Anolis sagrei: one gene and its partners. The protein of the gene in region 1 interacts with the protein of each later gene in a pairwise test. Links are inferred from orthologs where the notes say so. Each region holds a gene or a part of one and is shown on either strand. Other genes may lie near its edges.

Evidence for each region.
Region 2: the proteins of FXR2 (region 1) and SRPK2 interact in binary tests that used the Homo sapiens proteins (3 or more experiments, as listed by UniProt). The link is inferred for Anolis sagrei from reciprocal best matches to the Homo sapiens genes FXR2 and SRPK2.
Region 3: the proteins of FXR2 (region 1) and LCP2 interact in binary tests that used the Homo sapiens proteins (3 or more experiments, as listed by UniProt). The two-hybrid records come from large-scale screens. The link is inferred for Anolis sagrei from reciprocal best matches to the Homo sapiens genes FXR2 and LCP2.
Region 4: the proteins of FXR2 (region 1) and SYTL4 interact in binary tests that used the Homo sapiens proteins (3 or more experiments, as listed by UniProt). The two-hybrid records come from large-scale screens. The link is inferred for Anolis sagrei from reciprocal best matches to the Homo sapiens genes FXR2 and SYTL4.

What each region holds. Positions count from the first base shown.
Region 1 is NC_090026.1:3,122,270-3,130,241, reverse strand, and holds the start of FXR2 (RNA-binding protein FXR2), read right to left. Parts: upstream 3,014-7,972; 5' UTR 2,762-3,013; coding exon 2,711-2,761; intron 1-2,710. UniProt on the Homo sapiens protein: mRNA-binding protein that acts as a regulator of mRNAs translation and/or stability, and which is required for adult hippocampal neurogenesis. Specifically binds to AU-rich elements (AREs) in the 3'-UTR of target mRNAs.
Region 2 is NC_090025.1:83,987,864-83,995,876, reverse strand, and holds the start of SRPK2 (SRSF protein kinase 2), read right to left. Parts: upstream 3,008-8,013; 5' UTR 2,913-3,007; coding exon 2,897-2,912; intron 2,772-2,896; coding exon 2,690-2,771; intron 1-2,689. UniProt on the Homo sapiens protein: Serine/arginine-rich protein-specific kinase which specifically phosphorylates its substrates at serine residues located in regions rich in arginine/serine dipeptides, known as RS domains and is involved in the phosphorylation of SR splicing factors and the regulation of splicing.
Region 3 is NC_090022.1:104,302,967-104,310,769, forward strand, and holds the start of LCP2 (lymphocyte cytosolic protein 2), read left to right. Parts: upstream 1-4,802; 5' UTR 4,803-4,900; intron 4,901-7,803. UniProt on the Homo sapiens protein: Adapter protein primarily involved in signaling pathways within T-cells, as well as other immune cells such as platelets, mast cells, and natural killer (NK) cells.
Region 4 is NC_090030.1:10,025,905-10,033,696, forward strand, and holds the start of SYTL4 (synaptotagmin-like protein 4), read right to left. Parts: upstream 3,013-7,792; 5' UTR 2,932-3,012; intron 1-2,931. UniProt on the Homo sapiens protein: Modulates exocytosis of dense-core granules and secretion of hormones in the pancreas and the pituitary. Interacts with vesicles containing negatively charged phospholipids in a Ca(2+)-independent manner.

The DNA of each region.
Region 1 (7,972 bases):
TTTGAATTCCTATGCACACTGCACATATCTTATTTGTAGTGCAAAAATCATTTTAAAACAATACAATAATTAAAATGAAGAACAATTTTAACAAATATAATCTTATTAGTATTTCAATGCGAAGTGTGGGCCTGCTTTTGGCTGATGAGATAGGATAGTTGTTGTTGCGTGCTTTCAAGTCAAATCAAATCATTTATTTCGGTCACTGACTAGCACAGGAAATAAGAGTCACATTTTCATACAAACTTGGTATGTTTGGTACATTAAAAATATAAATATAACTACTGAAGCACAATATGGGTGAGGGAGCGGAAAAGAAGGGGAAACAGGGTAAAAACATGCAATGCCCAGATCCATCACCAAATTGTAGATTCAAAGAAGAAGATTACTGGACACACAGTTAACATTTGGGACTAACGTCCTTGCAGACGGCCAATTCTCTCACAACAGGACACTCCTGACACGACCAAAAAAAAAAAATCCCTGATGGATTTTGTATGCTTTGCAACATTGTAGGTTGTAGCTGAATTAATATCTGCAAGTAGCATGGAGGTATAAAATTGTCCTGAACGGCGTGGGTGCTTGTATAACAGAGGTAAGATAAGTCTGGCATGGATATCCTTGTAGAACGGGCACTTTCAAGTCGTTTCAGACTTAGGTTGACCCTGGGTGAGGGCCGGGTAAATTACCTTGGGGGGCCATATCCAGGCCCCCGGGCCATAGTTTGAGGATGCCTGATTTAAGCCAATGGGATTTTGGCCTGCATTAATAGGAGCATGGTGTCTAGGTCCAGGGAAGTCATGCTACCCCTCTATTCTGCTCTGGTTAGACCACACCTGGAATATTGTCTCCAATTCTGGGCACCACAATTCAAGAGAGATATTGACAAGCTGGAATGTGTCCAGAGGAGGGCGACTAAAATGATCAAGGGTCTGGAGAACAAGCCCTATGAGGAGCGGCTTAAGGAGCTGGGCACGTTTAGCCTGAAGAAGAGAAGGCTGAGAGGAGACATGATAGCCATGTATAAATATTTGAGAGGAAGCCACAGGGAGGAGGGAGCAAGCTTGTTTTCTGCTTCCCTGGAGACTAGGACGCAGAACAATGGCTTCAAACTACAAGAGAGGAGATTCCATCTGAACATGAGGAAGAACTTCCTGACTGTGAGAGCCGTTCAGCAGTGGAACTCTCTGCCCCGGAGTGTGGTGGAAGCTCCTTCCTTGGAAGCTTTTAAACAGAGGCTGGATGGCCATCTGTCAGGGGTGATTTGAATGCAATATTCCTGCTTCTTGGCAGAATGGGGTTGGACTGGATGGCCCAGGAGGTCTCTTCCAACTCTTTGATTTTATGATTCTATAGGTAAACTTTGGAACTTCTAGGTGTTTTGAACTTCAACTCCTATAATTCCGAACAGCCTTTGACTTCAACTCCCATAATTCAGCCTATTGGCTGTAAGGAATTGTGGGAGTTGAAGTCCAAAACACCCTGGCCATCTTCCAACTTAAAAGTCCGTCTCTTTGAATTGTTTTGCCCAGAACGGTGTTATCCCAAGCAAAAGAGTGGGATTGCTAGGCCTTGTTCTCTTGTTTCCTCTTAATCAGGCATGGGCAAACTTGGGGCCTCCCTCCAAGTGTTTTGGGACTTCAACTCCCACAATTCCTGGCTTCAGGCCCCTTCCTTTTCCCAAAACACCTGGAGGGAGGCCAGGGAGAAAAGGAAAGGGCCTGAGGCCAGGAATTGTGGGAGTTGAAGTCCCAAAACATCTGGAGGGAGGCCAGAGGGGAAAGGAAAGGGCCTGAGGATAGAAATTGTGGGAGTTGAAGTCCCAAAACACCTGAAGGGAGGCCAGGGGGAAAAGGAAAGGGTTTGAGGCCAGGAATGGTGGGAGTTGAAGTCCCAAAACACCTGGAGGGAGGCCAGGGGGGAAAGGAAAGGGTTTGAGGCCAAGAATTGTGGGAATTGAAGTCCCAAAACACCTGGAGGGAGGCCAGGGGGAAAGGAAAGGGTTTGAGGCCAGGAATGGTGGGAGTTGAAGTCCCAAAACACCTGGAGGGAGGCCAGGGGGAAAAGGAAAGGGCCTGAGGCCAGGAATTGTGGGAGTTGAAGTCCCAAAACACCTGGAGGGAGGCCAGGGGGGAAAGGAAAGGGTTTGAGGCCAGGATTTGTGGGAGTTGAAGTCCCAAAACACCTGGAGGGAGGCCAGGGGGAAAGGAAAGGGTTTGAGGCCAGGAATGGTGGGAGTTGAAGTCCCAAAACACCTGGAGGGAGGCCAGGGGGGAAAGGAAAGGGTTTGAGGCCAGGAATGGTGGGAGTTGAAGTCCCAAAACACCTGGAGTGAGGCCAGGGGGAAAAGGAAAGGGTTTGAGGCCAGGAATTGTGGGGGTTGAAGTCACAAAACACCTGGAGGGTGGGCCCAAATTTGCCCATGCCTCCTTTGATGCAATCTATAGCTTGATTCCCATTCAGCTTGAGGCCTACAAAGCCTTCGAGGTCCCTTTCTTCCCCAACAAGCCTCCCTGCCTCCTTTGAACTCCTCAGAGGTATGTTTGTGACCTTTCCACCCAAAGCCCTGGACTCCAACTCCCAGAATCCTCGAGGGGCCTAGGCCTCCTGGGAGTTGGAGAGAGTTGGGAGGCTAGGCCGCATCTCCATGGCAACCGCGGGGGCCCCGCCCATGCCCCGTCTCCTTGGCAACGCTCTGCGGCCTACTCACCTTATAGAAGGCCCCGTTGGAGCCGCGCACTTCCACGGAGAGGCCCTCCATGGGGCCCGAAGGCGACGCCGGGGAGGAAGAGGCCGCCAAGGGGGAAGGCGGGGGGATTGGGGCCGGAGGGCGAGGCCCGGCTTCCTCCCCCGGGTCCGCCACCGTGACCGGTGCCTTCAGGCCGGAGCCTCCCCCACTCTGGCCTGCCGCCTCCCTTCCCTCGCCTCCGCCAGCCGGAGAGTCCGTCCTCCCCTCACAGAGCCAGCTTGAGAATGCGCATGCATGGCCCCGCCCCTCCGTCCGCGCATGCGTCGAGCCGGAAGACGCTTGCCTTCTTTTTCCCCCTTCAGGCCACGCCTACTCCATTCGGCCCCGCCCCCTTTCTCGTCAGCGTGAGCCAATGAGAGGCAGTCATTCCGCGAAGGAGGCGGGGCTTAGCCTTGTTTCAGCTCCTCCCACTCCCTTGTTTCTTCTCATACAACCAATAGGGAAGCCGTCCTCCAACATGTCAATCATAGGAAATGTGAGCCAATGAGAGGCGCTCATTCTGCCAAGGAAGTGGGGCTTAGCCTTATTTCAGCTCCTCCCACTCCCTTGTTTCTTCTCATACAACCAATAGGGACGCCGTCCTCCAACATGTCAATCATAGGAAATGTGAGCCAATGAGAGACGCTCATTCCGCCAAGGAGGCGGGGCTTAGCCTTGTTTCAGCTCCTCCCACTCCCTTGTTTCTCCTCACGTACCCATACAACCAATAGGGACGCCGTCCTCCAACATGTCAATCATCAAAGAGGCGGGGCTTACCCTTTCTTAGACTCCTCCCACTCCCTTGTTTCTCTTCACGCCTCCTCTTTCTCCCCCGCTAACAACCAATAGAGAAGCCTTCCTCCAACATGTCAATCATAGTTCTCTCTAGGAAATGTGAGCCAATAAGAGGCGCTCATTCCGCCAAGGAGGCGGGGCTTAGCCTTATTTCAGCTCCTCCCATTCCCTTGTTTCTCCTCACGCACGCATACAACCAATAGGGACGCCGTCCTCCAACATGTCAATCATAGGAAATATAAACCAACGAGAGGCGCTCATTCCGCCAAGGAGGCGGGGCTTAGCCTTATTTCAGCTCCTCCCACTCCCTTGTTTCTTCTCACGTACCCATACAACCAATAGGAACGCCGGCCTCCAAAGTGTCAATCACAGTTCTCTCTAGGAAATGTGAGCCAATGAGAGGCACTGATTCCGCCAAGGAGGCGGGGCTTACCCTTATTTCAGCTCCTCCCACTCCCTTGTTTCTCCTCACGCACGCAAAGAACCAATAGGGAAGCCGTCCTCCAACATGTCAATCATCAAAGAGGCGGGGCTTGCCATAATTTCAGCTCCTCCCACTCCCTTGTTTCTCCTCACGTACCCATACAACCAATAGGGACGCCGTCCTCCAGCATGTCAATCATGGTTCTCTCTAGGAAATGTGAGCCAATGGGAGGCGCTCATTCCGCCAAAGAGGCGGGGCTTTCCCTTATTTAGGCTCCTCCCACTCCCTTGTTTCTCCTCACGCCCTCTCTCTCTCCCCCGCTAACAACCAATAGAGATGCCTTCCCCCATCATGTCAATCACAGTTCTTTCTAGGCGATGTGAGCCAATGAGAGGCACTGAATCTGCCAAAGAGGCGGGGCTTGCCCTTATTTAGGCTCCTCCCACTCCCTTGTTTCTCCTCACGCCCTCTCTCTCTCCAACGCTAACAACCAATAGAGATGCCTTCCCCCATCATGTCAATCACAGGTCTTTCTAGGCGATGTGAGCCAATGAGAGGCACTGAATCTGCCAAAGAGGCGGGGCTTGCCCTTATTTAGGCTCCTCCCACTCCCTTGTGTCTCCTCCCCTTCTCTCTCCCCCGCTAACAACCAATAGGAACGCCTTCTTCCAACATGCCAATCATAGTCGAGGTTTTTTTTTTTTTTACCCCCACCCCGCTCTTAAAGGCGCAGGCGCAGAAGGGGGACCGACCAATGGTGAAAGTACTCCTGGCTCCTTTGCAACCAATCCTGACTCGACTTCTTTCAGCCCCTCCCATAGGGCTTCTGGACGCCCCGCCCTCTTTTTTTCCATCCTCAAAGGGTCGTAATTTTGGAGGAGCCCCGCCCCCGTCATTGAAAGCACTAATGGCATGAAAAGCCCCGCCCACAAATCGGGCCTTGCTCGGTCTTGATTGGCCAGTCGGTCTGAATTGCTAAGGCGGTTATTTATGAGGAGAAACAAGTGGCCTCCCCTGAGGATTGGGGGCGGGGCCAGGATTCCTCTGGTTGTGACCCCGCCTACTTTATTGAATGGACCAATCAAAGACGCCAGCCCGCCTCTCCTTGCTTCACTTTCCCTTATTATCCGCCAAAAGGGGGCGGGGCTTCTTCCTTTAGAGTTGCGGGTTCGAGTCCCGCCTGGGCTGAATTTGAATTCTAAATTTAATAGAACCCAAATTTAATAGAAGCAAAAAAATAGGGTGTTTTGGTACCCACTTCCTTCTTATGTTTATTTATTTATTTAAAAACACACATAATTTATTTACAATTAGAATCAAAATGTCTATTTCTCATGAGAGGACATCTGCACCTCAGTTTTATGCCACATTAACCTATGGGATTTGTATATCTGGAACTCCAGCACCAGAAACACCAACTTCTTCATAAAACTATAATTCCCAGGATTCCACAGAAATGTGGGGCCATGACAGTTAAAGGTGTTGAAGGAGGCTTCAAGGGTCTCTGAGTGAAATTAAGTAAGGGGCTTTGAATGAAATTAAGAGAGACAAACCCTTCTCTGTAGAAAAATAGCAGTATGGAATAAAATGTTTTTAAGAAACAAGATGTGATAGGATGCGTTGTGGTTAACTTCAAAGGTTGTTTTTGAAGCGCAGAGGCCGCATGTATAAGTAGGTACTTTCCATCAAAAGGTCAAGAGAGGGGGCTGGAAAGAGACTACTTTCCATGACAAAAAATTGTTCTTGTTTACTTGAGGTTATATATTTGGTGGTCAAAAGCCAAGGGGGACGGCAGTCACTTGAAGGGTAACATTTGCGCATGTTGCCTGGCTGTCCGTCTTCTTCATGAAGAAATCAAAAATAAAACCTTGGTTTTTTTTTATCTTTCATTGGGAATGTCTCCTTCCTTTCATGCTCCCGCGACGTGGACCTAAGAAGACCCAATTTAGGGTCTCTAACTGTCACAAAACTGGTACAACTGTGCAGTGCAGATACATCCATTCTCACTCCTGTTTTCTTTCAGAGTGTTCAGGCTGAACATCAACATTTAGTGCATTCTAATTGACTTTCATTTTGGAACACAAGAAGCATTTGACGAGGACTCAACACACAGAGAAACCATTTTAAAAGGCTCTCAAATTAAAAGACAACAAGAAGCAGAATTGTGGGAAAGACCGAAGTTGTGCTTTGTTTGATACTAAAAAATACCAGCTATGGCCTTTCGTAAATGGTTCAAATTTCCTCAGACGGTTTGACATCAAGATGGATGACTGAGGGAGACAAAATGGCTGCCAGTTGGCTGTTCCATGTCAAAGACGGCTCATTATTACCCTGCAATAATTAAACGACAACAGAATTGTGGAAAAGACCGAAGTTGTGCTTCGTTTGATACTAAAAAATACCAGCTATGGCCTTTTGTAAATGGTTCAAATTCCCTCAGACGGTTTGACATCAAGATGGATGACTGAGGGAGACAAAATGGCCGCCAGTTGGATGTTCCATGTCAAAGACGGCTCATATTTACCTCGCAATAATTAAACGACAACAGAATTGTGGAAAAGACCGAAGTTGTGCTTCGTTTGATACTAAAAAATACCAGCTATGGCCTTTCGTAAATGGTTCAAGTTCCCTCAGGCTGTTTGACATCAAGATGGCTGACTGAGGGAGACAAAATGGCCACTGGTTGGCTGCACCATGTCAAAGACGGCTCATTATTACCTCTCATTTCGCTACCAATAAGCCATCATGTCTAGAATCTTTATTCTGGGTGAAATCAAGAGGCAGTGGGGGGATTCTTTCTTTTAAAAATATTAGTTTTGGGCCATTTCATAAACAGTCCAGTTCCCCTCAGGAAGTGTGAAATCAAGATGGCTGACAGAAGGAGACAAAATGGCCACCATTACCTCATATTAAGTCACTATTACCTCGTATTAAGTCACTATGAAGACATTTTTTGTCATTATTTTGGCTGAATCCAAGAGCAAATTCTTGTGATTTTAAAACATATATATTAGTTATGATCATTTCATAAACGGCCCAGTTCCTTTCAGGCAATTTGACATCAAGTTGGCTGACTGAGGTAGACAAAATGGCCGCCGGTTGACTGTGCCATGACAGAGGCGGCTCATTATAACCTCATAGTAAAGGTAAAAGTTGTCCCCTGAAATTAAGTCCAGTTGTGTCTGACTCTGGGACTGTGGTGCTCATCTCTATTTCTAAGCCAAAGAGCCAGCGTTGTCCGTAGACACCTCCAAGGTCATGCGGCCAGTCTAACTGCATGGAGCGCCTCACATTAAACAACAATTAAGCCGTTTTCATGTAATTATTTTGGCTGAAACCAAGAGCAAATTCTTGTGATTAATGACCACTTCACAAATGGCCCAGTTCCCTTCATACAGTTTGACGTCAAGATGGCTGAGTGAGGAAGACAAAATGGCCACTGGTTGACTTCACCATGATAGAAAAGGATCATTATTACCTCATATTAAGCCACAATTGAGTCATTTTCATGTAATTATTTTGGCTGAAACCAAGAGTAAATTCTTGTGAATATATATATATATATATAATGACCACTTCATAAATGGCCCAGTTCCCTTCACACAGTTTGATGTCAAGATGGCTGAGTGAGGAAGACAAAATGGCCACTGATTGACTTTGCCATGACAGAAACGGATCATTATTGCCTCATATTAAGCCACAGTTCAGTCATTTTCATTTAATTATTTTGGCTGAAACCAAGAGCAAATACTTGTGATATATATATATAATGGCCACTTCATAAATGGCCCAGTTCCCTTCACACAGTTTGACATCAAGATGGCTGAGTGAGGAAGACAAAATGGCCGCTTGGTGACAGAAATGGATCATTATTACCTCATATTAAGTCATAATTAATTCATTTTCATTTAATTATTTTGACTGAAACCAAGAGCAAATTCTTGTGATTATATGTAATGACCACATCATAAATGGTCCAGTTCCCTTCATGACGTCCCATCTTGACGTCCCTTTGACGTCAAGAT
Region 2 (8,013 bases), on another chromosome or scaffold:
TGTGTGTGTGTGTGTGCGTGTGTGTATATATATATAGATAGATAGATAGATAGATAGATATAGATATATAAAAGCTATCCCCTGCCAAACGTTTGTGTGTGTATGTATGTGTATATCTGTGTGTATATGTGTATTTATGTGGTTATGCACATGCATTTTTATGTATTTTGGGTTTTTTTTTTTGTTTTTTTGGGGGGTTGCTTTTTAAGTCTCTTCTGATGTGTTTTTCAGAGTTTTATGAGTGATGGTCTTGTGTCCAAATTTCATGTCAATTTGTCCAGTGGTTTTTGACTTATGTTAATCTCACAAATGAACATTACATTTTTATATATATATATATATATGTATGTATGTATGTATGTTTGTATATAACACAACAGTGCCTAGCTGGCTTGATGGATCTGGACCAAACTTGATACACAGACTCTTCATTATCCAATTTATATTTATTTATTATTTATTTATTTACAACTTTTATATCCTGATCTTCTCTACCTCCGTAGAGGGACTCAGACCGGCTGACAGCAAAAATTCAATGCTAACAGTAAAAATCTAAAACAGGGGTCCTCAAACTAAGGCCCGGGGGCCAGATACGACCCTCCAAGGTCATTTACCCGGCCCTCGTTCAGGGTCAACCCAAGTCTGAAATGACTTGAAAGCACACAACAACAACAACAACTACTACTACTACTACCCTATCTCATCAGCCAAAAGCAGGCCCACACTTCCTATTGAAATACTAATAAGTTTATATTTGTTAAAATGGTTCTTCATTTTAATTATTGTATTGTTTTTCAGTGTTTTTTTGCGCTACAAATAAGATATGTGCAGTGTGCATAGGAATTCATTCATGAGGTTTTTTTTCAAATTGTAATCTGGCCCTCCAACAGTTTGAGGGATTATGACCTGGCCCTCTGTTTAAAAAGTTTGAGGACCCCTGATCTAAAACATCATGCATCAACAGTGAATTAACAAATACATATAGGATAAAATACATAAAAGCCATTTGTCATGATAAAATCATGTCCAATTCAGTCCGTATATTGTGGTGAATAACCGATCTCAGCCATCATTCTGCAAAAGCCTGATACTGGTAGGTTGTTTCAAGGGGAGGCCGGATAGAGGGTGATGGGAATTGTAGTCCACGCACATCCATTGTGCCCTGTCAATTAATCTGGACCTTTTTTTTTTTTTTTTTTTGTCGTGTCAGGAGTGACTCCTGGTGTGAGAGAATTGGCCAAGGACGCCCGGATGATTTGATGTTTTTATCATCCTTGTGGGAGGCTTCTCTCATGTCCCCGCATGAGGAGTTGGAGCTGATAGAGGGAGCTCATCTGCCTCTCCCCGGATTCGAACCTGTGACCTGTTGGTTTTATTTATTTATTTATTTCGGTTGCTTCTACCCCGCCCTTCTCACCCCAAAGGGGACTCAGGGCGGCTTACAAAAGCAAGGCACAATTTGATGCCCACATCATATAACAACAATAAGACAAAATAACATCCATTAACAGAAAACAACAATTCTTGCAAGGCGAAAACAACCATAAAACCAGTAAAAGCAATAAAACCAATACAAACCATTTCTCCTCATTGACGGTCAGCATTTCGCAATCTCATAGTCCAGTTTCCAATTCCACAATTGTCAATCCTGTCAGTCCTATCCATCTGGTTGTCCATATCTAGTTGTCAGATTGCCCGAAGGCCTGGTCCCACAACCACGTCTTTACCTTCCTCCTGAAGGAGAGGAGGGATGTTGATGCCCTAATTTCCCCCGGGAGTGAGTTCCACAGGTGAGGGGCCACTACTGAGAAGGCCCTGGTCCTCGTCCCCACCAACCTCACTTGTGATAGCGGTGGGGTCGAGAGCAGGGCCTCCCCAGATGATCTCAGACTCCGGGGTGGGACGTAGAGGGAGATACGTTCAGACAGATACACTGGACCGGAACCGTACAGGGTTTTGTAGGTCAAAACCAGCACCTTGAATTGTGCTCGGAACTGAACCAGCAACCAGTGGAGCTGACACAGCAGGGGGGTGGTGTGGTCCCTGTATGTCGTGAGCAATCTGGCTGCCGCTCGCTGGACCAGTTGAAGTTTCCGAACAGCCTTCAAGGGCAGTCCTGCCGGCAAAGGGGTTTAACCCACTGCGCCACCGGGGGCTCCTATCTGGACCAAACTTGGTATACAGACCCTTAAGGGCCCTTCCACAGCCATATGACTCAGAATATCACGACAGAAAATCAATATATGCTTGGTATGGATTATCTGAGTCCACACTGCCCTATATCCAAGTTCAAAGCAGATAATGTGGGTTTTATGTATTGTCGAAGGCTTTCATGGCCGGAATCACTGGGTTGATGTAGGTTTTCTGGGGCAATATGGCCATGTCCTAGAGGCATTCTCTCCTGACGTTTCGCCTGCATCTATGGCAAGGTAGTGTGGGTTTTATTCTGGGGGCTGAGATACTCTCAGGGTCGGGGGCGGGCTGAGAAAGGAGGATGGGAGGTGTAGTCCCGCCACATCCAGCCTGGGACCGTGACCGGTCTTCCCCGCCGCCCTGGGCCCTTCGGGACGAGGGATGCTCAGGGAAGTTTGTGCTGGGATGCCTTCGCGACCCAGAGAGAGACGCCCGCTTCCCCTTCTCCCTTCCTTCTTTCCTTCCTTCCTTCTTTCCCCGGGCGGGAGGCACTCACTTTTTGTGGGGCTGCTGCTTCTCCTTCCTGCCGGGCGCCGCCGGGTGTTTGGCGCGCCGCCTCCGGGCCTGCAGGGCCAGCACTGTGCCACAAGGGAAGGAGAGGAGAGAGAGAGAGAGAGGTTGAAGGCTGCTGCTCCTTCCGCGCCCCTTCTCCGCGCTCCTTCCCCGGCCCCCTCGCCTCCCTCCCGGGCCCCGCTTCGGCTACCTTTCCGGGAGCTCATCCTCCTCCTCCTCCTCGCCGACTCCGTGAGGGAACGCCGGGCGCCCACCGAAGAGCAGCAGGAGCGGCAGCCGCCCCGTTAGCAAGCGCGCATGCGCTCTTCATCCCAGCCCAAGCGCGAGGCGGCGCCGAAGCAGGAGGGGGGGTCGTCGCTAAGCAACCAAGAGGCGGCTGGGCCAAGATGGCGGACTGGACCTCCTCTGAGGGAATCCCAACTTTTGCAGAACTGGGCTGCTGTGAGTTTTTTCTGGCAGCCTGAAAAACTCACAGCAACGCTCGTCCCTTCCACACTGCTGAATAAAAGCCCACATTGTCATCATTGAACGGGAATACATCGCAGTGTGGACTCAGATAGTCCAGTTCAAAGCAGATATTGTGGGATTTTCTACCTTGATATTCTGGGCTATGGGAGCCCCCGGTGGCGCAGTGGGTTAAAGCACTGAGTTGCTGAGCTTGTTGATCGAAAGGTCACAGGTTCGATTCCGGGGAGCGGCGTGAGCTTCCGCTGTCAGCCCTAGCTTCTGCCAACCTAGCAGTTCGAAAACATGCAAATGTGAGTAGATCAATAGGTACCACTCCGGCAGGAAGGTAGCGGTGCTCCGTGCAGTCATGCCGGCCACATGACCTTGGAGGTGTCTACGGACAACGCTGGCTCTTCAGCTTAGGAATGGAGATGAGCACCACACCCCAGAGTCAGACATGACTGGACTTAATGTCAAGGGACTACCTTTACCTTTACCTTTATTCTGGGCTATATGGCTGTGTGGATTTATTTATCGTGTCAGTTGCAACAAATGCTCCATTCAGCAAAGGACAAGAGGGATCCTCTCACTTCTGCAGGAGTCTACTGTGTACCATGCAGCGGTGGACAAGTCTATATGTTGTTCACTCGTTCAGTCGCCTCCAACTCTTCGTGGCCTCATGAACCAGCCCACGCCAGAGCTCCCTGTCAGCCGTCACCACCCCCAGCTCCTTCAAATTTATAATATAATGTAATGCAATATAATACTAATAATAACATGATATTATAATTATATATTTATATTACATATAAATACAGAGAGCTCTGGCGTGGGCTGATCCATGAGGTCACGAAGAGTCGGAGACGACTGAACGAATGAACAACAACAACAATATTACTAATAATATTACAATATAATTGGTATAGTATAATATAGCAATATTTAAAACTGATATTGTATTATGCTAATAATATAATATATTGTATGTATATATACCTTGTAAGCCGCTCTGAGTCCCCTTCGGGGTGAGAAGGGCGGCATATAAATGTCGTAAATAAATAAATAAATAAATAAAGGTCAGTCCAGTCACTTCAAGGATGCCATCCATCCATCTTGCCCTTGGTCGGCCCCTCTTCCTTTTACCTTCCACTTTCCCCAGCATAATTGTCTTCTCTAGGCTTTGCTGTCTCCTCATGATGTGGCCAAAGTACTTCAACTTTGTCTCTAGTATCCTTCCCTCCAATGAGCAGTCGGGCTTTATTTCCTGGAGGATGGACTGGTTGGATCTTCTCACAGTCCAAGGCACTCTCAGCACTTTCCTCCAACACCACAGCTCAAAAGCATCTATCTTCCTTCGCTCATCCTTCCCTAAGATCCAGCTCTCACATCCATAGGTTACTACAGGGAATACCATGGCTTTGACTATGCGGATCTTTGTTGCCAGTGTGGTGTTTCTACTCTTTACTATTTTATCGAGATTGGTCATTGCTCTCCTCCCAAGAAGTAAGCATCTTCTGATTTCCTGGCCACAGTCTGCATCTGCAGTAATCTTTGCACCTAGAAATACAAAGTCTATCACAGCCTCCACAATTTCTCCCTCTATTTTCCAGTTGTCAATCATTCTTGTTACCATAATCTTGGTTTTTTTTTATGTTTAGCTGCAACCCAGCTTTTGCGCTTTCTTCTTTCACCTTGATTAGAAGGCTCCTTGATTAGAAGTCTATATAGGGACCACCAAATGCAGCATCGCCCAAACACGAATCAAGGAACATGAAAGGCACTGCAGACTACTTCAACCAGAGAAGTCAGCCATAGCAGAGCACCTGTTGAACCAACCTGGACATAGCATATTATTTGAGAACACAGAAGTGCTGGACCACTCTCACAACCACCATGTCAGACTACACAGAGAAGCCATTGAAATCCACAAGCATGTGGAAAATTTCAACAGAAAGGAGGAAACCATGAAAATGAACAAAATCTGGCTACCAGTATTAAAAAACTCTAAAATTGCAACAGCACAACAACAGACAGGAAGCAGGCAGGGACATCTAATTGCCTCTCAACAAAAGTTTGCTCCAGGCACTGCCAGGCAATCAAATGCTAATCAAGGTGGTCAGTTGAAACATTCACACCTAGCTCCAGCAGACAAGAGTCCTTTGTCCCACCCTGGTCATTCCACAGATATATAAACCCTTTTCCCTAGTTCCAACAGACCTCACTACCTCTGAGGATGGTTTCCATACATGCAGGCAAAACGTCAGGAGAGAATGCCTCTAGACCATGGCATACAGCCCGAAAAAACCTACAACAACCCAAAATTCAGTATTATTAAAACTTATGCAAGAAACACTTTGGATGTAAACAACCACACTATGATTAGGTAAAAGCATCCCCAAAACAGTCAATTGCAATATTAGAAATTGATCTTAACCTGGATTTTCAATGCTGCCAATGCAAAAAGAGACATTTTGTGAGTAACCACTGGCTTAGTGTCAGCCAAAAGGTAGAAAATCTCTTCTGAGTCAATGTTGGATTGCAGAAGATACAGAATACGTAGGTCCCAGGATTTTATCTCTTGGCTCACAGTACAAAGAGCAGGAAAACAAATAATGGGGTACATCCTCAATTTCTGGGGCCCCACAAACTGGATAATCTGAATTATATGGTAGTATAGAAGAAGCCTAATGGGGTTGCTTCTGGCTGTAAACAAATACAATTCTTTATCGCTTTTCTGCTGCCATAAACAACACAGGGAGTCTTCCCCCCTGAATGCAATTTCTCAAGTCAGTGTGCATTTTGGAGCATTTTGGATTCAGAATTTGGATTGTTTGTCATAATTGTTAGTGTGTGTTTTTTTAATAAGTGCAGTTTTGTGCTATTTCTAGAGCCTTACACATTTAAATATACAGTACACAGCAAACAGGCATCACCATTAAAGCAAAGTCACATTCTCTCAGCCTCAGGGGAAGATAATGACAAACCTTTTCTGGGCAAATCTTGCCAATGGGGTCACCTTAGAGCAGGGGTTTTCAAAACCTTTTCAGCCACTGAGCCCTTTTTGAAGCAAATTTTTCATGGAGCCCCAGGAAATGTTTATATTTTATTATATATATTATGTATATATATTCAACATGAGCAAACTTGTGGACATAGGGGCCGCATTGCATTTTAAAATCTAACACATGGGCCAGGCCAGTGGCAGGTGGGTGGAGAGTATTTGTGTGAACTAATTGGTAAAAATGTGAAGAAATCCCTATGCACCCTGTACATATCTAATTTTTAGTGCAAAAAAGAAAGAAAGAACAATATGTTTAAAATTAAGAATAATTTTAGCCAACATAAACTTAACAGTATTTCAGTTGAAGACCCCACAGGCCATCCAGTTCTTCTGCCATACAGTAAAAGCACAATCAAAGCATCCCCAACAGATGGACATCCAGCCTTTGTAATAATAATAATTTTATTTATTTATTTACAACATTTATATGCCGCCCTTCTCACCCCGAAGGGGACTCAGAGCGGCTTACAAGATATATATATATATATATATACAATATATTATTAGCATAGTACAATATCAGTATTATATATTACATTACATTACATTATATTATATTTATTATATTATTAGTAAAGCACAAGAGACAAGATAGAACTGTCTTCTGCCCACTTCTCTCTTCACTCTGGCCAGAGCAGCAGTTGGTGCTGGGGGGGGGGGGGGGCTCCCAACTGATGATATAGGCAGGAGACAAGATGGAACTGTCTTCTGCCCCCTATTATTATTATTATTATTATTATTATTATTATTATTATTATAGCAGAAACCAAAGCGGCCATCCAGTTCAACTCAGTTCTGCCATGCAGGAAAAACGCAATCAAAGCACCTCTTGAGCAGGGGAAAATAGGATCTCAGAAGCAAAGAAGGTTGGGGGGGGGGGGCGGGGAGGCTCTGGGTGGCAAAGAGAGTCTGTGCATGAGGGAGCCAGGGAGAAAGGGTCTGTTCCCTGAGAAGATACTGCTGCTATTTCCGCAGCTCCAAACTTTAATTTTTTTTGTATTTCTGAGGAAGAGAAGGAGAAAGAGGAGAAGCCTGGAATCCATCAAGGTGTTTCAGCACCCATTGTTTCCTCAGCAGGGATCCACTGTGAAATTTTGACTCATAGGATTAGAATTATTAAATACCATCAACCCCAGACCTTGTCCACATTCCTTCCCTTAAGCACCCAAAGGAGGTGGATACAGAAAATGACTACAAGCTACAAAATGAGCAATGACAGTTTATTAAATTTCCTGCCAGACCAGTAAATCAATTAGCAGCAACAGCAGGCGAATTGTTTGGTGCTCCCACCAAACATTGCGTAGATCGTAACTTGCACCAATAAGCACCTGACGTGGCAAAAGTACATTATTTCGAATTGCTGTCAAGTTTCAATAAACATCTCCATTGCCTTTATGTCTGATAAGGTAAAGGTAAAGGTTTCCCCCTGACATTAAGTCCAGTCGTGTCCGACTTTGAGGTGTGGTGCTCATCTCCATTTCTAATCTGAAGAGCCAGCGTTGTCCGTAGACAACTCCAAGATCATGTGGCCAGCATGACAGGATGGAGCACCGTTACCTTCCAGCTGGAGCGGTACCTATTGATCTACTCATATCTGCATGTTTTCAAACTGCTAGGTTGGCAGAAGCTGGGGCTGATAGCGGAAGTTCATGCCACTCCCCAGATTCAAACCTGCGACCTTTCAGTCAACAAGCTTAGCAGCTCAGTGGTTTAACCCACTGCGTCACCGGGGGCTTCTTATGTCTGATATGGGAGTTTATTTATACCCCACTTTTTCTCTGTACAAAGGAGATTCAAAT
Region 3 (7,803 bases), on another chromosome or scaffold:
GATTTGATGGCCATCTGTCGGGGGTGCTTTGAATACAATTTTCCTGCTTCTTGGCAGGGGGTTGGATTGGATGGCCCATGAGGTCCCTTCCAACTCTGATTCTATGATCATATGATTCTACTTGTGCTCCCTCTGCTGCTAGACCTTAACTCAAAATGCTATTCTTATGTCAAAGTGAAACCTAGGACAAACAACTGCTCTTAACTCAAAATGCTCTTAAGTAGCGGTTCCACTGTATAACATGTCTTTTTTTCTATATTTTTTGCAAATCATGTGTCTCTTAAGAAGGCACAGGCTATGCGTGTGCAAATGTAGAATATCAAGAAACAAGTAGACTTCTGTCCCCATGCTGGATTGATGACTGCCTTTGGCTTTGGCTAGAAGCCTCTATTCTCCAGTACAAACAAGAGAGAAAGGACCACAGAGGCAATCTGGAGTCTCTAAGTGACTGTTTGTTGCTGCTATTTTGGGCCTTTGTTGTATTTTGGTACTTTGCTCTTTACAGAACTGACTTATTGTGAGTCTGGTTATAAAAGCAGGTCTCTTGAGGGGGTGGGCTGCTGCCAAAGGAATTAACACAAAAAAGGAGTCACCTCTTTGGATGAGTCACTTGAGGTACATATGGATGAGGGCTTGTCCTTCTGCCTGACAGACTCAAGGATTTCTTACCTAGATTCATACAGGAGATGATCCCAAGGGCCATTCAGTTCAATTGCCCATCTTACAGAAGACATGATCAAAATTTTCCCAACTGATGGCCATCCATCCTCTGTTTAAAAACCTCAAGAGAAGGAGACCCCACCACACTCTAAGGCAGTGTATTGTACTGTCATACAACTCTAACAATCAGGACATTTTTTTTCAAATGTTTAAGTGGAATTTCTTTTTCTGCAATTTGATGGGTGGTCTAGGCTAGGAACTGGATGAGGGTGTGCATCTCAAATAGTTCTGCTGGATGTCTCAGTGGTTTTCAATAACATTGGTCATAGTATAATTCTGGGCCACCTCACTGGAATGGAATTTGAAGTTACTTTTTATAGTAGCTCCAATCCTTCCTGGTGGTGTTGACTGAATCCTGTTCACAGACACCTGCCTCTTGGCTTGCAGGTTTTCTCAAGGTTCTGTTTTCTCCCTCAGGCTATCTAAGAATATTCATGAAACTGCTGGGAGAAGTCTTCTGGTTTTGGAGTGTAGTGTCATCACTATGCAGATGGCACCCTCTTCTATTACTCCTTTCCACCTTAATTCAAACAGGTGACCTTGAGTCTAATCCAGTAATTGACTTGGAGAAATCTTGACAAGACAATCAAAGGCAGATCAAGGAATAGGAATTCAATCTGTGTTAAATGGAGTTACACTCCCACTGAAGAGAGACACAAGTTTGCAATTTGGGGGACGCTTTTGGATTCAGTTTTGAATCTGGAGACCCATTTCTGTGGTGGCCAGAAGTGCTTTCACATTTGTACACCCACTAAGCTAATTTCTTGAGCTACCTAATCTGACTATAGTGCTACATTCCTTAGTTACACTCCATTTGGACTCTGTAACATGTATGTGGGCAGCCCTTGAAGAGTGCTTGGAAACTTTTGCTAATTCAAAGAGCTGCAGCATGTTAACTGGAGCAGGCTACGGGTACCATACTTTTCCCATTACAACAACTCCACTGGCTGCCAGTTTGTTTCTGGGCACAATTCAAAAAGCTGGTTATGACCTATAAAGTCCTATGGGGCTCAGGTCTAGGCTATTTATCAGACTGTATCTCCACATTCAACAATGTTAGTCTGGAATATCAATCTACAAAGACTACTTGTAGAGTATAACTAAAAGAATTTTCATTTATTGATTGTGTCAGAAGTGTACTGATAATACTTGTACCTCTGATGTCGCTGTAAGATGGTCCTCCATTGTGCATGTGGCAGGACTCAGACTGCATTGCTATAAGTGGTCTGTGGTTTCCTCTTCTCCGCACTCGCATGTCGTGGACTCCACTTTGTAGCCCAGGTATTTTGGTGTGCTGCAATGCTCCAGTGGGATTCCTTCCCAAGTAATCCTCGGAGCTTAAGATGCTTGTCTCTTCTTATAATGAAAAGCACACATCTGCATTTTAGATGGATTAGGCATCAGCTGGTTTTCCCTGTAATAGACCACAAGAGCACCTAAGGATTAAGAGGGCTTCTGTTCAGCCATTTCAAAGCTCCCTGCTTGAGTGGTGATGGCACGATTGTAAGCATAGATGAAACTGAAAGAATGAAGCTTGTAGGCAAAGCCTACTTCCTCAAATGCCTGGCGTGAGGTGCCTCCCTATATGAGCCTGCATAAGCCCTGATATCATCAAGTCTGACACTTCCTTGAATCACAAGCACAAAGGGCCTTTTCACTGACTGTCCCTAGACTCCTCTCTTGTTGTTTTTCCATTAACAGGTGGAAAACTTTTTTAAATATTTTGACAGGTTTTTAATACAATTTTTTTTAAAGTTTGAGCTAAATAGTGCTATATTTAAATGCAACTGTATTTAAATAATTTTTGACTTTTAAATGTATTTTATTGAGTATAATTTGAAACTTTTATAATACTGAAATTAGTTTAGTTCTATCTTATTGTTCATTTGTTGTATGTTTCAAGTAAAATAAAAACCAGGGGCATAAACTAGAAAACAACATATTCATTTGGTTACATTTCTTAGCCATTTACTAGAACAAATGTAGTTATAAAACATTGCTGCTATAGAAATAGAGATAAGTCTTCTTTTTGCAACCTTATTATTATTATTATTAATTATTATTATTCCTATTCCTATTCCTCCTTCCCCTGTATCTCAAGGAGATATCTGACAGTTTGTACTTTCAAAGTGACAAAGCTGATCTTTCTAGTCTCTCATAAAACCTAACATGGTCTGCACATTTCTTGTTTTGTCTGTTTGTTTGTTTTTTAGGTAATACATCTTTCAGCATGTCTGCTTGGAAATTGTAAATGTTGTAGTCTATTTTTTTTACAAATTCTACTTTGAAATGCATAACTTGGAATTAAATCCTAGCTATTTAAAATGGCTTCGTACAATTGTTTATCTAAGTTACAAACCTCAACCCACTTCTAACCCTGTCTTCTGGGAAACAAGTCTAATTAGTTTCATCTAGGTATATCTTCAAGTAAACATGTCTAAATCCTATGCTTAATAACAGTGTTGCACAATTTCACAAGCTAAAAAAACAAAGTGTTGCATTGCTTTCTATGGAAGTGACCTGAGGCCTAAGCTACAGATGACAATTCATGTCTTCAGAAGGTTATCCCAAAGTAAGTCAGGCATATTGATTTCAGAGTTACACTATGCCAGTACCTTGTTGTTAACTGACATTGACTCAAGTTCAAGTTATGGTGACCCTATAAATGAGAAACCCTCAAGTCACCCTATCACCAGCAGCCCTACTCAGAGCTTTCAGACTGAGGGCTATGACTTCCTTGGCTGAGCCTCTTCACCTGGAATGCAGTCTTTATCTTTTGCTATTGCCTTCTCTCTCATCAACCAGCTCTGTCTTTTCTAGTGAGACATGTCTTCACACATTGTGTCCAAAGTGCAATAGTCTCCGTTTAGTCATCTTGTATTTGCCAGTTTTCCCCACAATCTTTTGCTGCCTTGTCTTTCAGTTGTAGTATATGTGATGCCAAATTGAACACTAACATTTTTTTTATTCTGCTCTGAAGCCTACTTTTTCATCCCAAGCATCTATGCTTAACAACAAATCCTGTTTAGGTGTGTAGTCAATTTCTTTCTGGATTCTAGTACACATTCTTTTAAATTTCTTTTTCAGCATCTGAAGATGGAACACAAACTTGGATTATATTTAAATCATATCAATTCAGGTTTTCCTGAAATTGTATTGATACTATTTGGTCATACTTTGCATTATATTCTTTGACAACTTTTGCTGCATCTCTTCTCACTATGCATTTCACCCCATGACACAGCACCATCCAAGAGAGCCAAAGAACATCAGCAGCAGGGAGCTTGGAGGAAGAGGCAGTGTCTGTTTACTGCAGGCTGCCTTTGACCTGAGTTCCTGGTGACTGGCTCCTTACAGACTCAGGCCCTGACTGCCTGGCTGAAGCAAGGCCCAGCAGAAACACCTGCTGGGGGATAAAAGGATGATGTTGCTGGGGGCCCAGTCACACAGCACTATCCAAGAGAGCCAAAGAAGATCTTAAGATCATGACAGGGGAAGTTGAGGGCCTAGTAGGGTGTCTCGTGATGTTGCTATTATAATGATAGACTGTAATGCTGCTACTTGACCAAGAGACTTGAGAAACACCACTGTGCAAGTTTGACGAGTGACAGAAATGCAGTTTAACATCTTATCACACCACAGTTAGAAATGAAGCAGTTAATTGTGTGTGGGGTTATTATGTTTTACATTGTATTTATATGTCTATTGTGGCTAGTGATTTTATGTTATGTTTTATATAGTTTGTATAATGAGGCATTGAATTTTTGCCTAGATGACTGCTGTATAGTGCTCTGGGTCCCCCGAGGGATGAAAAAAGCAAGATAGAAATGAAGTAAATAAATTAATAATAACAATTTTGTCTTATATTTCCATTTTCTGAGTAAAGCTATGCAATTATCTGATGTAAAATGTCCAATTCCTGCCCACTTTTGCTCACTCATCCCAAGTATCGCAATGTTTATATCTTTCATTTCTTGTTTTACTATGTCTAGCTGCTGCTGATTCACGTTTCCCACATTTCATACTCCTATAATATGTGTTGTGCAGTTTTGGAATTTCCTTTCACTTCTTAGCACATCAGTTAACAGAAAATCTTTCTGACTTGAGTCCAGTTGCATCATTAACCACAGCGCTCTTTAAAGTTGATAATTCCAGAAGTTAGTTGAGTGCCTTCCAAGCTGTGAGTATAATTTTCTAGCACTATCTCTTGTTTCCTTCTTCATTGTTTTATCATAGGGCTGTCATGGTAAAAGGTGTTGGAAAGGGATTTATGGTGCCTCCTTCTGTGCAATGCAAACAAGCACTATCTATGGTGCCACTGGCCTTATTTCTGGCAGATATTCCACAGATGTGAACCCCCACTATTGCTGCTTCCCAATCATTAATTCATATTTTAGAAGGTGTATGAATAGAGTTTTGTAAAATTAAAATTTAAAACATTATAGTTTGTAGAATTCCACAGCTGATATGACCAGGAGCATTATAACATTTGAAAAAGCCTGTACAAGGGTGGAAATGGAGAACAGTCTTCTCCTTGCAGTTCTCAATTCTTTGAAGTACTTCCTTGAATTTGTTTTGTCCTAGCTTTTGGAAGCAGTAGTATTTTTGTTTTATATTAACATTGCATTGCTTTTGCACATTTTCATCCTAACCTCCACCTAGAAAAGGTTGTGAACAAATCCCAAATGTATATGTGAAAAATTGAGTTTGGCTGCACTCTTGTGGTAATATAGAGAGTGTGCTTTAATTTCTTTCCCTACAGAATTACATGAGTTCTATGTTTATTTGGAATAAAAAGAAACCATGTAAGTAAAACAATTGTATTTTGCTTTTAAAAAAAAAAAAGCAAAAGCAAATTATAGTCATACAGTTTATAGACCTTAAGTCATTTTTGTAATTACAGTTAACAGAAAAGGCATAAATAACACAATCCAAACAAAACATAGCAAAATAATCAAAGCAATCTCAATTAATCATATCTTACAAGGAACCAGACTGTAATTGATGGTGAAGATACATTAAAAATGCCTGGCTTTACTAATAATCCCATTCCAGCATCCTTTTAAGATATTTGCTTACCACATTTGGAAATGCCTCTTTTCTGCAGTATGCCATAGAAAAACATTTGATGTTTCTTCATTCAGTTTGTTTTCATTTGATCAGCACATTCTCTCCCAATAGTTTTGTTTTTTGACTAATTTCCAATTTTCATTCAGATGGAGTAAAAGACAAGATGGAGTGATTGCATCATTTTAATATTAAAAGGGCACCCACAGAAAGGAGGGATCAAGTTTGTTCTCTAGTGTCCCAGAGGATAGGATGATTTTGCCCTGTTTTGCCACTTTTAATCATGGCAAGGATGGGGCCTGCCATGCACCATAACATGATGCACGGAGAAACACCTAAAGGTGCTTTTTTTCTCCACTCTGGGGAGGAAAGTGTAGTTTGCATAGCTCCAACTGAACTACCTGCACTTTCCTCCCCTTTTTGCCATGTGATAGCAGAAAGAGCAGCGGAGCAATGTGTGTTGCTACCTTTTCTATCATCTGATGAGGGGATGTGATGAGGGGAGGGGGGAGGGTGCACAGAGTGCCACATGCCACCCTGCACACCTTCCCTTTAACTGGCAATTGCTGGTGCAATGACAAGGTCCGAAAGGGCCATGTGAAAAGGTCCCAATGCTACAGGACTATCTATTTTGATTAAACATTGGAACAAAATTTGGCAATGGAATCAATTTCCTAGAAAGGTAATGGAATCAGTTTCACTTTACATCTTCAAAAAGAGGCTGGACAAGTGATGCTGGAAATGGTCTAGTTACAGTTCCTGCACTGCCTGGGGAATTGGAGATTATCTCCTCTGCAACGCCTTCCAGCTCAATGTTTGTATTTGAAAAGATGTAAGCCATAATTCTTTTGGTTGCTTGAGTCAACCTTTGAAAGATGTGTCAACCCAATTAGATCAGATTGCTTCAAAGGATATACTCCAGTCTCTTTCCTTGTAAGTGAAGGCAAAAACTAAGCACACCGATAGTCTATCAAAATAATCCCACCTAATTTTCATTAAGGAGACTTGATTGCTTAAAAATGGATTATTATTAGGGTTCCCAACACTTGGGAAGCATGCTTTTAAGCTTTTTCTATTTTTACAAAATCTTTCTATTATCTGAAAAAGGCTGCATTGTTTTCACTTGTGAGCCACATTACCAGAGAACAGTGCAACGGCTGAATTCACACAGTGCACACAGAGAGAAGCAAGAGTGAGACTGGCAGATATTTAACCATTCTCCAAATAATCCTACTTCTTTCTAGTACATTTGTTGTTAGTCAAATCCTGTCCCTGGCCAATTTTCTTTAGTGATACTTTCTAAACATCACAGTTTGCTTATTTTACCCCCCTGCTCCACCAATAGCCCAATGTCAAACAAGAAGTGATGTCATGTCATGTGTGGGTCAATCCCAGGAACACACTCAGAACAGTTTCTTATCCCTACTGTATCCATTCCCCTGGAATTAAATTTCCCTGGTGTTCATATAGATGACACTTTTCTATGGATATGCATAAGTTTATGTAAGCCAGTTATGCTTTAAGAATATATGATAAGGCACAATTATTTGTAATACATCTGGCATACCTGAATTCGTGATGTAAGTTCAGACCCAGTTTAAAAGTCTGTTTCAAATAAATTTTTCTCAGCATTTCTGTGTGTGCGTGTGTGGTCTGTACCCTATTTCCATGTAAAAGTTCTATATACAATGCACATTGGAAAACAAGTGATCATATATTTGAACGAACTGTTCAATTTCTATATATTTTCTACTTTTTTCTCCCTTACTGGTGGTTCATATTGGTTGCTTTTATCTTTCTAGTGATTTTTTAAAAACAGAAACCCAAAGTCCTGGCAGGCTGGTGCTGTCCCCCTTCTACCAGCTAAGGGACTTCACCATTTTGCTCTAGTGTACTGGCTTCTGAAAGTGTTGACCACCAGCTTTCTTTCAAATCTTGTGCAGAAAATAGCCTTACCTAACTATATCATTTCCTCCTCTCCATTATCAACCATCTTTTTTTGCAACTGTGGGATTG
Region 4 (7,792 bases), on another chromosome or scaffold:
AGATGCAGGCGAAACATCAGGAGAAATGCCTCTAGAACATGGCTATATAGCCCGGAAAAACCTACAACAACCTAATCATACTGTTCGACCTTTTTCGGCTCCTCTCAAATACACATTTTCTACTCCTATCTCATCCAGGGTTTTATCATTTTATCTTCTCCATTTGGCCTGCCATTTGTATTCAATTTTCTACTATACTATTTTGCTTTGTTCACTTTATTTTGCCACTCTATATACTTTATTGTGATGTGACTTTTGTTATGCTTTGCACTTTATTTTGCTGTATTGTATCTTTGGGCTTGGCCTGGTGTTAGCCATCCCGAGTCCCCTTTGGGGAGATGGTGGCAGGATATAAAGAAAGATTATTATTATTATTATTATTATTATTATTATTATTATTATTTTACTGGTACAAAAGTTCAGTATGTCACTTATTATTATTATTATTATTATTATTATTATTATTTCAGGACAGGGAAATAAAGCAGCAATAGGAAAGATTACCAGGCCAATTAGATTTAACGTGGATGACTAGGACAGTTTTAAACTGTGTATTTTAATATTTTGATAAATGTTTTTAATGTTTATGTATGTATATAAGAATGTGTTCCGGCATTGAATGTTTGCCGTATATATGCTGTGCTCCGCCCTGAGTCCCCTTTGGGGTGAGAAGGGTGGAATAAAAATATTTTAAATAAATAAATGAATAAATAAAATTATTATTATTATTTATTTATTTGAAGCCATTGTTCCATGTCCTAGTCTCCAGGACAGCAGAAAACAAGCTTGCTCCCTCCTCCCTATGATTTCCTCTCACATATTTATACATGGTCCTCATCGTGTCTCCTCTCAGCCTTCTCTTCTTCAGGCTAAACAGGCCATGCTCTTTAAGCCGCTCCTCATAGGACTTGTTCTCCAGACCCTGGATCATTTTAGCCACCCTCCTCTGGACACATTCCAGCTTGTCAACATCTCTTTTCAATAGATAGGCAGGAGCCTTTGGTGGTCCAGCGGGTTAAACCGCTGAGCTGCTGAACTTGTTGACCGAAAGATCGCCTAGTTTCCAACAGACCTCACAACCTCTGAGGATGCCTGCCATAGATGTGGGTGAAACGTCAGGAGAGAATGCTTCTGGAACATGCCAAACTCACAGCAACCCAATAATAATTTTGTTTGTTACCTGCCTCTCTCTGTGGAATAATTAAAACATGTAAACATTGCAAAACTTCTATAAATAATGGGCATGTTTCTGGAAAAGATACATATTAAAATGTATCCTATTAAAAGACAAGGGATACAACTTGGTTTACACATTCCAAAGTAATTTAGAAACAAATCCTGGTGAAATGAAAGAGTCTGAAATATAATACAATATAACATAATACAAGGCAGTTTCAGAAATAGCCGCTTTGAGTCCCCTTTGGGGAGATAAAGCGGATTATAAATAATAATAATAATAATAATAATAATAATAATAATAATAATAATACATTAGTTGTTGAAGGCTTCCATGTCTGGAATCACGGGGCTGCTGTGAGTTTTCCGAGCTGTATGGCCATGTTCCAGAAGCATTCTCTCCTGATGTTTCACCCACATCTATGGCAGGCATCCTCAGAGGTTGTGAGGTGTGTTCGAAACTAAGCAAATGAGGTTTATATACCTGTGAAATAATATCCAGGATAAGAGAAAGAACACTTGTCTGTTTGAGGCAAAGGTGAATGTTGCAATTGGCCACCTTGGTTAGCATTGAATGGCTTTGCAGCTTCAAAGACTGGGTGCTTCCTGCCTGGGGGAATCCTTTGTTGGCAGATGATTAGCTGGCCCTAATTGTTTCTTGTCTGGAATTCCCCCGTTTTTGAGTGTTGTTCTTTATTTACTGATATGATTTTAGAGTTTTAGGTATTAATGTTACAATTGGCCACCTTGATTAGCATTGAATGGCCTTGCAGCTTCAAAACCTGTCTGCTTCCTGCCTGGGGGAATCCTTCGTTGGGAGGCGTGAGCTGGCCCTAATTGTTTCTTGTCTGGAATTCCCCCGTTTTTGAGTGTTGTTATTTATTTACTGTTATGATTTTAGAGTTTTAGGTATTAATGTTACAATTGGCCACCTTGGTTAGCATTGAATGGCCTTGCAGCTTCAAAACCTGGCTGCTTCCTGCCTGGGGGAATCCTTTGTTGGGAGGTGTTAGCTGGCCTGAATTGTTTCTTGTCTGGAATTCTCCTGTTTTTGAGTGTCGTTCTTTATTTACTGTTATGATTTTAGAGTTTTAGGTATGAATGTTGCAATTGGCCACCTTGATTAGCATTGAATGGCCTTGCAGCTTCAAAACCTGTCTGCTTCCTGCCTGGGGGAATCCTTTGTTGGGAGGTGTTAGCTGGCCTTAAATGTTTCTTGTCTGGAATTCCCCCTTTTTAGTGTTATTCTTTATTTTCTGTTATGATTTTAGAGTTTTAGGTATGAATGCTGCAATTGGCCGCCTTGGTTAGCATTGAACGGCCTTGCAGCTTCCAAACCTGGCTGCTTCCTGCCTGGGGGAATCCTTCGTTGGGAGGTGTTAGCTGGCCCTGATTGTCTCATGCCTGGAATTCCCCATACAGCTTGGAAAACTCACAGCAACCCAATAATCAATTAGTTTGCAACCCTTTGATACAAGAGCCAACTGACCCAAAGCCGGGAGGATACTGGGATGAAAAGTGAAAGAAACTGGGAGATACTGGGATGGAAAACGAATCCAAAGACAGGCAGTTAAAAGCAGTATCACCCTGGATCAATTCTGCTGTGTAGATGCACCCTGGGTGAGCTTGGTGGCTTCAGAGGGACATAAAGTGAGGAAAGCACTCTGTGTATGCTCAGAGGCTGCGGGGAAGAGGCTTGGAAGAGGAAGAGGAGGCAAGAGCTTGCAGATGCAAAGGAAGGGAAAGAAAAAGTACCTGTCTCTCTGCTCCAGGCTGAGGGAGAAAGAGCCTCGTTGGCCCGGGAGGAGCCGCTCCCTTAAAGGGGCCGCACCCCTTTTCATGCCAGGCTCTTAAAGGGACAGCGCCCCGGCTGGGATGGCAGGGGGCGTGGCCTCACCTGGGAGGGGGCGTGGCCAGGGCGGCAGCAGGACCTCCCATCCTTACTAACAGCTTTGAAGTGCAGCTTCGTGAGGCCCAATACCTTGTGAAACTAAAAATCCCATGACCTAGGCAAGTAGTGGCAAAATGCATCAATTCTACAATGTGGATGCTATATTGGAAAGCATTGCAGCACCTACCTGTGCTGGCCAGGTAAGAGACTGCAGCCTCATCAAAGGGGAGGTCCTCACACATCCCTTGCCATACAGGCACAATAAATAAGAAGTTTTGCAGTACTTCCTTGCACTTCCAGCAAATTGGAGTATGCCTTACTCATACTAGCACAATAAAGGAGTTGTGCAGCACTTCTTTGCACTTCCAACATATTGGAGTATGTCTTACTCATACAGACATAATAAATTAGAAGTTTTGCAGCACTTTGCATTTCTAACACATTGGAGTATGTCTTACTCATACAGACACAATAAGAAGTTTTGCAGCACTTCTTTGCATTTCTAACACATTGGAGTATGTCTTACTCATACAGACATAATAAATTAGAAGTTTTGCAGCACTTTGCATTTCTAACACATTGGAGTATGTCTTACTCATACAGACACAATAAGAAGTTTTGCAGCACTTCTTTGCATTTCTAACACATTGGAGTATGTCTTACTCATACAGACATAATAAATTAGAAGTTTTGCAGCACTTTGCATTTCTAACACATTGGAGTATGTCTTACTCATACAGACACAATAAGAAGTTTTGCAGCACTTCTTTGCATTTCTAACACATTGGAGTATGTCTTACTCATACAGACACAATAAGAAGTTTTGCAGCACTTCTTTGCATTTCTAACACATTGGAGTATGTCTTACTCATACAGACATAATAAATTAGAAGTTTTGCAGCACTTCTTTGCATTTCTAACACATTGGAGTATGTCTTACTCATACAGACACAATAAATTAGAAGTTTTGCAGTACTTCTTTGCATTTCTAACACATTGGAGTATGTCTTACGCATTCAGACACAATACATTAGAAGTTTTGCAGTACTTCTTTGCATTTCTGGCTGCCGATTTGCTACCGGACCCAATTCAAGGTGCTGGTCTTGGCCTACAAAGCCCTAAACGGTTCCGGCCCAAAATACCTTTCGGACCGCATCTTGGCCTACGAGCCCACGAGGACCTTGAGATCGTCTGGGGAGGCCCTTCTCTCGATCCCGCCTGCGTCACAGGCACGGCTGGCGGGGACGAGGGAGAGGGCCTTCTCGGTGGTGGCCCCCCGGCTGTGGAACACTCTCCCGGCACACATCAGACAGGCGCCCTCCCTCATGTCCTTTCGAAAAAGCCTTAAGACCTGGCTGTTCGAGAGGGCATTTAATTAAGTGCTAAGCAACAACATTACGGTAATGAGAACTGGAATGGTATAAGGAAGATGAGACTGGCTATGATTCTACTAAGAGACGAAGCGGATTTTTATGTAGTTTGTATTTGTCGTATAGTTATATGTTGTTGATACTGGCCTTTGTAACTGTCTTTTTATGTGTACTGTACACCGCCATGAGTCGCCCGTAAGGGCTGAGAATGGCGGTTAATAAGTGCATCAAATAAATAAATAAATAAATAAATTTCTAACACATTGGAGTATGTCTTACTCATACAGACATAATAAATTAGAAGTTTTGCAGTACTTCTTTGCATTTCTAACACATTGGAGTATGTCTTACTCATACAGACACAATAAATTAGAAGTTTTGCAGTACTTCTTTGCACTTCCAACACATTGGAGTATGTCTTACTCATACAAACACAATAAATTAGAAGTTTTGCAGAACTTCTTTGCATTTCTAACACATTGGAGTATGTCTTACTCATACAGACATAATAAATTAGAAGTTTTGCGTACTTCTTTGCATTTCTAACACATTGGAGTATGTCTTACTCATACAGACATAATAAATTAGAAGTTTTGCGTACTTCTTTGCATTTCTAACACATTGGAGTATGTCTTACTCATACAGACACAATAAATTAGAAGTTTTGCAGCACTTCTTTGCATTTCTAACACATTGGAGTATGTCTTACTCATACAGACATAATAAATTAGAAGTTTTGCAGCACTTCTTTGCATTTCTAACACATTGGAGTATGTCTTACTCATACAGACACAATAAATTAGAAGTTTTGCAGCACTTCTTTGCATTTCTAACACATTGGAGTATGTCTTACTCATACAGACACAATAAATTAGAAGTTTTGCGTACTTCTTTGCATTTCTAACACATTGGAGTATGTCTTACTCATACAGACACAATAAATTAGAAGTTTTGCAGTACTTCTTTGCATTTCTAACACATTGGAGTATGTCTTACTCATACAGACACAATAAATTAGAAGTTTTGCGTACTTCTTTGCATTTCTAACACATTGGAGTATGTCTTACTCATACAGACACAATAAATTAGAAGTTTTGCAGTACTTCTTTGCACTTCCAACACATTGGAGTATGTCTTACTCATACAAACACAATAAATTAGAAGTTTTGCAGCACTTCTTTGCATTTCTAACACATTGGAGTATGTCTTACTCATACAGACACAATAAATTAGAAGTTTTGCAGCACTTCTTTGCATTTCTAACACATTGGAGTATGTCTTACTCATACAGACACAATAAATTAGAAGTTTTGCGTACTTCTTTGCATTTCTAACACATTGGAGTATGTCTTACTCATACAGACACAATAAATTAGAAGTTTTGCAGTACTTCTTTGCATTTCTAACACATTGGAGTATGTCTTACTCATACAGACACAATAAATTAGAAGTTTTGCGTACTTCTTTGCATTTCTAACACATTGGAGTATGTCTTACTCATACAGACACAATAAATTAGAAGTTTTGCAGTACTTCTTTGCACTTCCAACACATTGGAGTATGTCTTACTCATACAAACACAATAAATTAGAAGTTTTGCAGCACTTCTTTGCATTTCTAACACATTGGAGTATGTCTTCCTCATACAGACATAATAAATTAGAAGTTTTGCAGTACTTCTTTGCATTTCTAACACATTGGAGTATGTCTTACTCATACAGACACAATAAATTAGAAGTTTTGCAGCACTTCTTTGCATTTCTAACACATTGGAGTATGTCTTACTCATACAGACATAATAAATTAGAAGTTTTGCAGTACTTCTTTGCATTTCTAACACATTGGAGTATGCCTTACTCATACAGACACAATAAATTAGAAGTTTTGCAGCACTTCTTTGCATTTCTAACACATTGGAGTATGTCTTACTCATACAGACATAATAAATTAGAAGTTTTGCAGTACTTCTTTGCACTTCCAACACATTGGAGTATGCCTTACTCATACAGACACAATAAATTAGAAGTTTTGCAGCACGTCTTTGCATTTCTAACACATTGGAGTATGTCTTACTCATACAGACACAATAAATTAGAAGTTTTGCAGCACGTCTTTGCATTTCTAACACATTGGAGTATGCCTTACTCATACAGACACAATAAATTAGAAGTTTTGCAGTACTTTTTGCACTTCCAACACATTGGAGTATGTCTTACGCATTCAGACACAATAAATTAGAAGTTTTGCAGTACTTCTTTGCACTTCCAACACATTGGAGTATGTCTTACTCATACAGACACAATAAATTAGAGGTTTTGCAGTACTTCTTTGCACTTCCACCACATTGGAATATGTCTTACTCATACACAGGCACAATAAATTAGAGGTTTTGCAGTACTTCTTTGCACTTCCAACACATTGGAGTATGCCTTACTCATACAAACACAATAAATTAGAAGTTTTGCAGTACTTATTTGCACTTCCAACACATTGGAGTATGCCTTACTCATACAAACACAATAAATTAGAAGTTTTGCAGTACTTATTTGCACTTCCAACACATTGGAGTATGTCTTACGCATTCAGACACAATAAATTAGAAGTTTTGCCCCACTTCTTTGCAGTTCCAGCAAACTGAAGTATGAAGTTTGGTATTACTTTGTATTTCTGGCAAATTGGAGTATGTCTTACCCCTACGGGCACAATAAATGTTTTGCAATACTTCTTTGCAATTCTGGCAAACTGGAGTTATGTCTTACGCATACAGGCACAATAAAGAAGGTTTGCACTACTTATTTGCAGTTCTAGCAAAGTAGAGTATGTCTTACTCGTACACAATAAATAAGTTTTGCAGTAATTCTTTGCAGTTCTGGGAATTTGGTGTATGTTTCCGGCTGAGGTTTTAGGGCAGGAGATGCTAAGAAGGTTGAATGAAAAGTAATGCCTCCACCTTTGTAACTCCTATACAGATGGCAGTACTGGTATGCAGCAGGTACTGGCTTGTTCAGCAGACTCTCCTCTACAGTTCCATCGTGGTGGGAAGTTTGCTCTCCTTTAGGCTAATGGGGAGGAACAACAGGTGATCATATGAGGGTTGAATGAAAAGTAATGCCTCCACCTTCGTAACTCAACAGATGGCAGTACTGGTATGCGGCAGGTACTGGCTTGTTCAGTAGACTCTCCTCTACAATTCCATTTTGGCGGGAAGCCTTAGCATTGAATGGCTGTGTTGTTAAAGTGCAAAGTATGGAACCCTGCACAGACAGTCGGTTAATGCGACTTAATCAACGTGCAGTCATTGAATTCTTGACAGCAGAGGGTGTCTCCTCAACATCTTTAAACTTACTCACCCAAT